Linked DNA regions of Arabidopsis thaliana. The protein of the gene in region 1 interacts with the protein of each later gene in a biochemical or structural test. Each region holds a gene or a part of one and is shown in the gene's direction. Other genes may lie near its edges.

Region 1 (4,123 bases):
AGTGTATAAAACCGAAACAAACTAATTCAACAAACCCGAAATAAACAAATCCGTACGACAACCAAAAATATCTTTCAGATGGGTTCCACAAGATAACCCAGTGCCAATCAGAATTCTGAAAGCGTGGCTCGACCGCGGAAACCATTGTCCATACCTTCTCTTCTTTGTCCCCCCTTACGTGGCTCGCTGTGGAGTCTCGTACCACGTGTCGCGTCACTTCACTCTTTACTTTCTATTTTCCACTAAAATCATAATTTGTCTTTTTCTTGACCATACCCACTCTTTTTTCTTCTCGTTGTCGTCTTGCTTCTCCTAAATATCTCAAATAACGTGAGAGACTTGAGTGTGAGAGGTAGGTAACGAGGCAGACTTTTTTTGGAAGCGAATATAACTTATGCTGATATTTTATTTAGCTTTCTGATTGGAGTTGAGATATTATATAGGTATTATTGAGATATTATATACGTATTATTGAGATTTGAGATATTTTGTAGATTTTATAGTTCTATCGGACTAATTCTTGGCTTAATCCACTAACATGTTTTTGTTTAGTTAATTAAACTGATTATTTTCTGCGCTATAGTTTTGTTAAACACCTTTTAGACGTAACAAAGCAATTACGCTTGATCATCCATCGTAGACTCTTTTTCTTTTTTTACATCTCATAGAAGTTTTGTTTAAACACAGCAGGAAGTAAATTATTTTCTTATTACGTACGTATGATTGTTTTTAGACTATTTTAGTACTTTGAGAAGTAAAATTGGGGATACGAGATAAAAGACAATTGATTAACATGCTTTTTATTTTGACTTCCGAAACTAATCATGGTTGTCTATGTTTATAAATTGTGTTCTTTTTGTTGAAAAACTCAGATAATGATTAAATCAGTAGCGAATGGATGGAGAACACATGATTTTAGATTGCATACCGTAAAACAAAAAAAATCATGATGGATGTAGAACATTCAAATGGGTCAAATAAATACGTATGTGATCAAAAGAAAGTATGTGATCAAAAGGGTTAGCACGAGTACCTTGGGAGGAAATTCTTCTAATTATGAATTATGCAAGAATTTTCGTCAAGGGAAGGTGGGGAAGAGGTAGCTAAAGAATAGAGAATCATATGACTAAGGACGTGGTGGTTGAAGGAAATGAGAGAATACATGAAGAAGAGAAACTTCTTTGAGTGAGAAGGAAGTGCGCTGGCTGGAGAGAAAAGAGAGAAAAGAGTTTCGAGTGAGAGAGAGGGCGTTGAGATTGTGATCAACTTAATGTAATATGTTCTTTTATTACATTTTCTTTTTGTCATATACTCAAACCTTTTACTATTTTGTCTCATAAATCTAACACACCCCACCATTTGTTAATGCATGATGGTAGAAAATATTAAATATAATTAACTACTTTTATGTGATCAAAATTAGGTTTCAGACTCGTTTCGCGATCCGATCTACAATTACAACTGCATGCTTCTAATTGATCTAAATTCTAAATTTTTTATACATATTAAAAAAACAACTTTTTGTTAAATTCTCAATCATCATTTTTGTGATTAACAATTTTTTATAACTCTAAACCAATAATATTTGATTATTTATTTTATATGTATAATGATGATTGAGAATTTTAATTAGCAGTCTATTTAGGGTTTTCCTAAAGTTACAATATGTTGTTACCCTTCTAGTTAAATTTTCCAAAATACCATATTTCATAACTTTTCAAACTGTTTATTAATTCAACCGTAAAAAGCACTAAAATGTTACATTTGATCATTCACCCAAATTAAATTCAAAAGTTTTTCCGCCAAAACTACTTGGTGACTTACGTGCTTATATACGGACGACTATTATTATGTTCTATACTTTTTTATACTTTGTTGCACAAATATCTACTCTCCCAATTCATATTCTAGAAGGATGTGCTATAAGAATGGGAGAAATTACACAAGAAGAGCATCTTTAAATATCCTCTCACAATCTTTATGTCTAATACACGGGTGAACAATTAACGACAATTTCTTTATTCAGGAATATAATAATGAATAACGGTTACCCTACACCTAGTACACTAAATCCTTAACAGCCACACATTCATACGCAAAGAGTTTATAAAACTCATAAAGGTATAATAATAACGAGTGAATAAGTCAAAAAAAGTCTTCTCTGGACACATGGCAGATCTTAATGAGTGAATCCTTAAACTACTCATTTTACAATTGCTTCGCTGTGTATAGTTTACGTGGCATTACCAGAGACACAAACTCCGTCTTCGCCTTTTCTTTTGCCTCTAAAATATCTTCCGCCATTATAAAACAGCATGCTCTCACTCCAACTTTTATTTATCTACAAACATTAAATCCACCTGAACTAGAACAGAAAGAGAGAGAAACTATTATTTCAGCAAACCATACCAACAAAAAAGACAGAGATCTTTTAGTTACCTTATCCAGTTTCTTGAAACAGAGTACTCTTCTGATCAATGAACTCATTTTCTGCTTTTTCTGAAATGTTTGGCTCCGATTACGAGTCTTCGGTTTCCTCAGGCGGTGATTATATTCCGACGCTTGCGAGCAGCTGCCCCAAGAAACCGGCGGGTCGTAAGAAGTTTCGTGAGACTCGTCACCCAATATACAGAGGAGTTCGTCGGAGAAACTCCGGTAAGTGGGTTTGTGAGGTTAGAGAACCAAACAAGAAAACAAGGATTTGGCTCGGAACATTTCAAACCGCTGAGATGGCAGCTCGAGCTCACGACGTTGCCGCTTTAGCCCTTCGTGGCCGATCAGCCTGTCTCAATTTCGCTGACTCGGCTTGGAGACTCCGAATCCCGGAATCAACTTGCGCTAAGGACATCCAAAAGGCGGCGGCTGAAGCTGCGTTGGCGTTTCAGGATGAGATGTGTGATGCGACGACGGATCATGGCTTCGACATGGAGGAGACGTTGGTGGAGGCTATTTACACGGCGGAACAGAGCGAAAATGCGTTTTATATGCACGATGAGGCGATGTTTGAGATGCCGAGTTTGTTGGCTAATATGGCAGAAGGGATGCTTTTGCCGCTTCCGTCCGTACAGTGGAATCATAATCATGAAGTCGACGGCGATGATGACGACGTATCGTTATGGAGTTATTAAAACTCAGATTATTATTTCCATTTTTAGTACGATACTTTTTATTTTATTATTATTTTTAGATCCTTTTTTAGAATGGAATCTTCATTATGTTTGTAAAACTGAGAAACGAGTGTAAATTAAATTGATTCAGTTTCAGTATAAGTGTGGGCTATTCTTAAATGCAAGTATTTTTAGAGCAGTAACAAAAAAATGTTGTTTAAATTAGAGTATAAAACCGAAACAACCGATTCAGCAAAACCTCCAATAATAGACCGTACACCATAAACAGAAATATGGGTCCCACAAGAGAGCACTGTCCGTAGCTTCCCCTTCATTGGCCCTCTACGTGGCTCCTCTTGTAACCAATGTCATGTCATTTTCAAGTTTTACTTTCTTTTTTTATACTAATATCTTGTTTGTCGTTTTCTGTACCTTAAGGTCCTAAACCACTTTCTTTCGCGCACCATTCCTTGTCGTATTATTTCTCCGAATATGTCAATACCGTGAGACGACAATTGATAGCGAGAGGTAGCGAGAGAGAGAAACGTTCGTTGTGAAGATATTTTATTGCTGTTGTTGAGATTTGAGATATTTTATAGCTATTATTGGAATTTGAAAGTGATGTATAACTTGCTACTATATCGGTCTAATCCTTGGCTTAAACCAGTTTTTATTTAGTAATTTTATGCTCCTGTATTATTATTCGGTGGAGTATTTTTTTCTCAAAAAATATATGAGTCGAGTTTAAGAAATATATAAGCGAAAAAACAAAAAAAATATATATAAGCGGGGTTAATAGATCAACCACAATCAATTTAATTTGGACTTTAGAATTAATAAAATTGTTTACTTCGTAATTATTATTATTTTTGTTGTTCTGGCAAATCTGATAATCCAGATTATTATTAGACAAGTAGCGAAGGGACGGTGAACATTTATGATTTTAATTTGTATGTTGTAAGGAAAACAAAACAAATAAGTTCTGTAAAAAAGGTTTACCTTTCTACTTTGCCGGA
Region 2 (5,133 bases), on another chromosome or scaffold:
TTCCAAGCAAATTCAAAACTTATTAAACTATATGCTAGAGTCAATGATGTACTTTAGCAGAAAAAAAAAAAACACTACTATAATTAGTGAATTGAGAGTATTATTGTCCTTGTATTTAATTTTTAAACGTAAAAAATAATAAGATGGGTTTGATAATGTGAAGGTGAGCCCAACTAAAAACTAGAGACGTGGACCAATGGAAAAAAAGTAAGAAGACTCTTTGGTTTCTGACATCTTCCCCCACAAAACACAAAGTCGATGTGAAAGCAAATAATAGTGTTCGTCCACGTTACATCGACAATCAACGGCTGAGATTTGGTTTCATTATGTGTCTGTCTCATCGAGGTTGGTTCGTGTTTTTGTTTTTGTTGGTTGTGACAGTAATGGAGCGACACGTTATTTCGTTACAACTACTTTTTTCTTTTTTAAAACTTTTGTAATCAGAGGACTAAAGAAGTAAGTGGACCGATCATAAATAACAAACTCAGGTGATTGATTATTGGACCTTTGTCACTTCAGGATGGAGAAGCGTTTTCAATTCACCGGTGAAATAAAATATTAGCTGATTTTTTTAAAAAGAATTAAGGTTTTGAATGGATATTGTGGATAAATCGGATTAAAATTTGGAATTATACCAATATTTTCTTTTTTAACGAACATTTTGATTGGTAAACTTTAATCCATTTTGATATGTAAACTTTCTGAGAAGTTTTAGGACTATACCCATATATAATACCAATTTTTTATGTAAGAACTATATGAATTATTTTGTATATAGAGTTTTTTTTTCTTTTTGTTTTGTATATACCACTACAAATTATAATTTTGTGAATGATAAATAAGAAGTTGTCTAATCTACAAACCCATTTTGTTCTCCAACCACCGCAACCATGTGTACCTAAACAAATAAATATTAATTGGTTAATTAGCACAATTGTTAGAGTGAAATTATTATCTCGAATCCGATATAAAGAATTTGTCACTATTCTTTCCAAAATTTCCGATATTCAAAGTGTTGAGATCAATAGTAAAAATTTGAATCCGTCCAAATTGATTTAAATACAATTTTAAAGTTTACATACCCAAAAATCATTTGGTTTCTCTCAAAATATTTAAATATTTAGATATTACTTGGAAATCTGGGTAGTAACAATTTGGATTTGTCCAAGCAACATTTGGATCTAGATATCATAATTTCCAAGTCAACATATCCAAATTCGCCAGATATAATATTAATATATATATATATATATGTAAAATACAATATTTTCATTTCTTTTCTAGTATATAATACTTTATTTTCATAAACATAATCCAATCTTAATTTTACAATTTTAAAGACGTTTTAACATTTTAATTTATTGTGTAGATACAATGATTTTTGGACGGAATTCCAAAGTGAAAACAACTTATTTTAGGAACCTAAAGTAAATTAAAACAACATAAATCCTGAAAAGGAAAACAATTAGTAAGTGAAATTAGTAAAATAAAAACGAAGAGGGAAAGTGACGCAAAATACAAAGATACAGAGTATATACCATTTTATTAAAATAATTAGCAAAAGTAGTATTTATTCAAGATTGTTAGGAGCCAGAGAGACACTTGGCTCACCAGACAAACTACCTAATCACCCAAACGAAGAACCAAACATTTTGAAATTTTTTGGGAAAATTACAAAGCACACGAATTTAGCAAAAAGGTAATAGATTTTTCTTCTCTTTGTGTGTATAGAAGAAACTGTGGTTTTTGTTCATCTTCTTTTAATTCTTTCGATTTATGTCCACACTTAATTTTTGGATAAAATTACTAATTGTGCCTAATACTTGTCATAAACGCATTCATATTCTCCTGTTGGTTTAATCTGTTTTTATCCATTTGACTATTAAAGTTTTGAAATCTGTTAGTGTTTTTGAATTGGGTTTTGCAGATTTCTTGATTTTTATTTATAGATTAGGGTTCTGATACTAAAGTTTGGATTTTTAAACTAAAGTTTGGATTTTTTTTTGTATTCATGGTTCAGATCCAGTTATTAGGTGGAAGCAGATTTTGTAGAAAAATGGATGGTAGTATGAATTTGGGGAATGAGCCACCAGGAGATGGTGGTGGAGGTGGAGGGTTGACTAGACAAGGTTCGATATACTCGTTGACGTTTGATGAGTTTCAGAGCAGTGTAGGGAAAGATTTTGGGTCAATGAACATGGATGAGTTGTTAAAGAATATATGGAGTGCTGAAGAAACACAAGCCATGGCTAGTGGTGTGGTTCCAGTTCTTGGTGGAGGTCAAGAGGGTTTGCAGCTGCAGAGGCAAGGCTCGTTGACTCTGCCTCGAACGCTTAGTCAGAAGACGGTTGATCAAGTTTGGAAAGATCTATCCAAAGTTGGAAGTAGTGGAGTAGGGGGAAGTAACTTGTCTCAGGTGGCTCAGGCTCAGAGTCAGAGTCAGAGTCAGAGGCAGCAAACATTAGGTGAAGTAACTTTGGAGGAGTTTTTGGTTCGTGCTGGTGTTGTGAGAGAGGAAGCTCAGGTTGCTGCAAGAGCTCAGATTGCTGAGAACAATAAAGGCGGTTACTTTGGTAATGATGCCAACACAGGTTTCTCTGTCGAGTTTCAGCAGCCTTCTCCACGAGTTGTTGCCGCTGGTGTAATGGGAAATCTTGGTGCAGAGACTGCAAATTCTTTGCAGGTTCAAGGTTCTAGTTTGCCTCTGAATGTGAATGGAGCTAGAACAACATACCAGCAATCGCAACAGCAACAGCCAATCATGCCTAAGCAGCCTGGTTTTGGTTATGGAACACAAATGGGTCAGCTTAATAGTCCTGGGATAAGAGGTGGTGGTCTTGTGGGACTTGGAGATCAGTCTTTAACGAACAATGTGGGCTTTGTCCAAGGTGCTTCTGCTGCAATTCCTGGAGCTTTAGGCGTTGGTGCTGTGTCGCCTGTTACGCCATTGTCATCAGAAGGGATAGGGAAGAGTAATGGTGATTCTTCATCACTCTCTCCGTCTCCTTACATGTTTAATGGTGGTGTGAGAGGTAGAAAGAGTGGCACTGTGGAGAAAGTTGTAGAGAGAAGGCAAAGGAGAATGATAAAGAACCGAGAATCAGCTGCAAGGTCCCGGGCCAGGAAACAGGTTAATCTCTTCATCACCATCTATCTATGTACTCTTGATTGTGTTATAAGCCAAAAGATATGTAAAGTAAATTGGTTAGCTTATCTTGTAGTTAAGTTCTTTAACCACAATGAAGCGTTGAATTCAAAGCGTAAAGTGTCTTGTGTGAAGTAGTGTAGTAAACAACTAAACAGAATTATTGGGACTTGAAATCAGTACTTGTGGCTGAATGAATCTCGCAAACAAATATGAACCTTCTGGTTTTGGTGTATATACATGTTGCCCATCCGCAGATATTCACGGCAGACCAAACAATATACTGGAATGTAATTTGCTAATGTCATGAGGTGGCTCAGAGTTTAAATGAGTAGTGAGGGTTCATCGTCAAAACCTGAGTAGTGGCGACATGGTTTTTCTTTTGGGGCAAGGTAATGGGTAATTGGTGCTCCCAAAAACCTGTTACATCTGACATGTACTATGACCAAACTGTTGAGTTCTACATTTGAGGGTCTAAATGTTTTGAATGGCACTCTAGTCTTTATCTCATAAGCTTCTCAGTCGTGCTTGTTTTGGTTCATAGGCTTACACCGTGGAGCTTGAAGCTGAAGTTGCAAAGTTAAAGGAAGAGAATGACGAGTTACAACGAAAGCAGGTAATCACAAAACCATGTCTCAGCATCACAGTTGCTCATACGTTACATTCATTTCTCATTGTACGCCTCATGTTTTACAGGCAAGGATCATGGAAATGCAAAAGAATCAGGTAATAATTCTTATGCCAATGCAACAACACTGGAATCTCTAAACTGCACATTTCATAGCTGAACTTGTAAACTTGGTTGTTTGTTTCCGTGCTATGTATAAAACAGGAGACGGAGATGAGGAATCTTCTGCAAGGAGGTCCAAAGAAAAAGCTGAGGAGGACAGAGTCGGGACCTTGGTGAATCAATCAATGCCATCATACTTAGTTTCTGTAGATAAATGACATCCCACTTAGGTGTTTTAGTTGAATTAGACTTAATAGAGAAGAGCTTTCATCGTTTATATTGTAAGCTCTCTCCATATATGTTATGTTTTTTACATACACAGGATCATCAGAATCTCTTTTGCTTTATTTAGACCAAGAATTTTGTGTGTGTTTCTCGTTGTTGTTTGTCGTTGTCGCTATTAAACCTCAAAATGTACTTTCTTGATCTTGGAGTTACCAATTTTGAAGAATTGAAGTGTTGTTTGGTTTCTCTGAGTGCCAAAACTATGACCTGTGCCAACACAGCATTCTAGCCTTCTAGGCAAGCGACTATAACCCAAACCGAACCGAACCTTGGTCATTTCGGACGGATGAGGTAACCGAGTCGGTTTGATGTGGTTCACTGAACCGACAGTTACACAAAGTAAACATTTGTACTGAAATTTATGTATGTATCAAAGTAAAATTCCTCTAAATTCGATAACCAAACCAAACGGGATTAATCATTTGCATGGAGAATAAATACATAACCGAACCAATTTAACCGATGACCGAATCGAACCAAAACCGACTTATTCGGTTTGATTTTTTAGTTACTAAAAATGAAAGTGTTCACTCTCATTCTCTCCCACTTCGTCGCTCAAATTCTCCCTAATTTCACCTGCAAAACCCTAGTTTTTCGTTGATTCGTTTCGTCTCCGGTGTAAAATCAAATACTATCTTTAGGTATTTCGTCTTACCCAACTCTATCTTTCCATGTTTTCCGAGGACAAAATAAAAGGTTAATTATTCATGACTAACGTCTGTAATGGGTTTTATTGTGATGTATGTTTGAAATTTGGAACATTTCGATATAGCATTGTGTTACTAATGCTTTTGAATTTGTTAGAAACGAGCAGTAAAATTGGTTTTTTCTTCATCTTTTTTTTCAAAAATTTGGACTTCTCTGTGGAAATTTCTGGGTTTTGTCAATGTTAGTGAACAAATTTCCTTATTTTATTGTCTTCTTCTTATAGTGTTTCAAGATTTTTTGTTTTTCTTTTTGTTGCATAGGTTTG

Evidence for each region.
Region 2: the proteins of DREB1A (region 1) and ABF2 form a complex in vitro, tested with the Arabidopsis thaliana proteins (one study listed by BioGRID).

The regions. Positions count from the first base shown.
Region 1 is NC_003075.7:13,017,358-13,021,480, reverse strand, and holds DREB1A (dehydration response element B1A), read left to right. Parts: upstream 1-2,080; 5' UTR 2,081-2,477; coding exon 2,478-3,128; 3' UTR 3,129-3,471; downstream 3,472-4,123. UniProt on the Arabidopsis thaliana protein: Transcriptional activator that binds specifically to the DNA sequence 5'-[AG]CCGAC-3'. Binding to the C-repeat/DRE element mediates cold-inducible transcription. CBF/DREB1 factors play a key role in freezing tolerance and cold acclimation.
Region 2 is NC_003070.9:17,164,339-17,169,471, reverse strand, and holds ABF2 (abscisic acid responsive elements-binding factor 2), read left to right. Parts: upstream 1-1,582; 5' UTR 1,583-1,699; intron 1,700-1,730; exon of another isoform or gene 1,731-1,990; 5' UTR 1,991-2,011; coding exon 2,012-3,130; coding exon of another isoform or gene 3,131-3,283; exon of another isoform or gene 3,284-3,402; coding exon of another isoform or gene 3,403-3,447; exon of another isoform or gene 3,448-3,689; coding exon 3,690-3,761; intron 3,762-3,841; coding exon 3,842-3,871; intron 3,872-3,977; coding exon 3,978-4,052; 3' UTR 4,053-4,314; downstream 4,315-5,133. UniProt on the Arabidopsis thaliana protein: Involved in ABA and stress responses and acts as a positive component of glucose signal transduction. Functions as a transcriptional activator in the ABA-inducible expression of rd29B.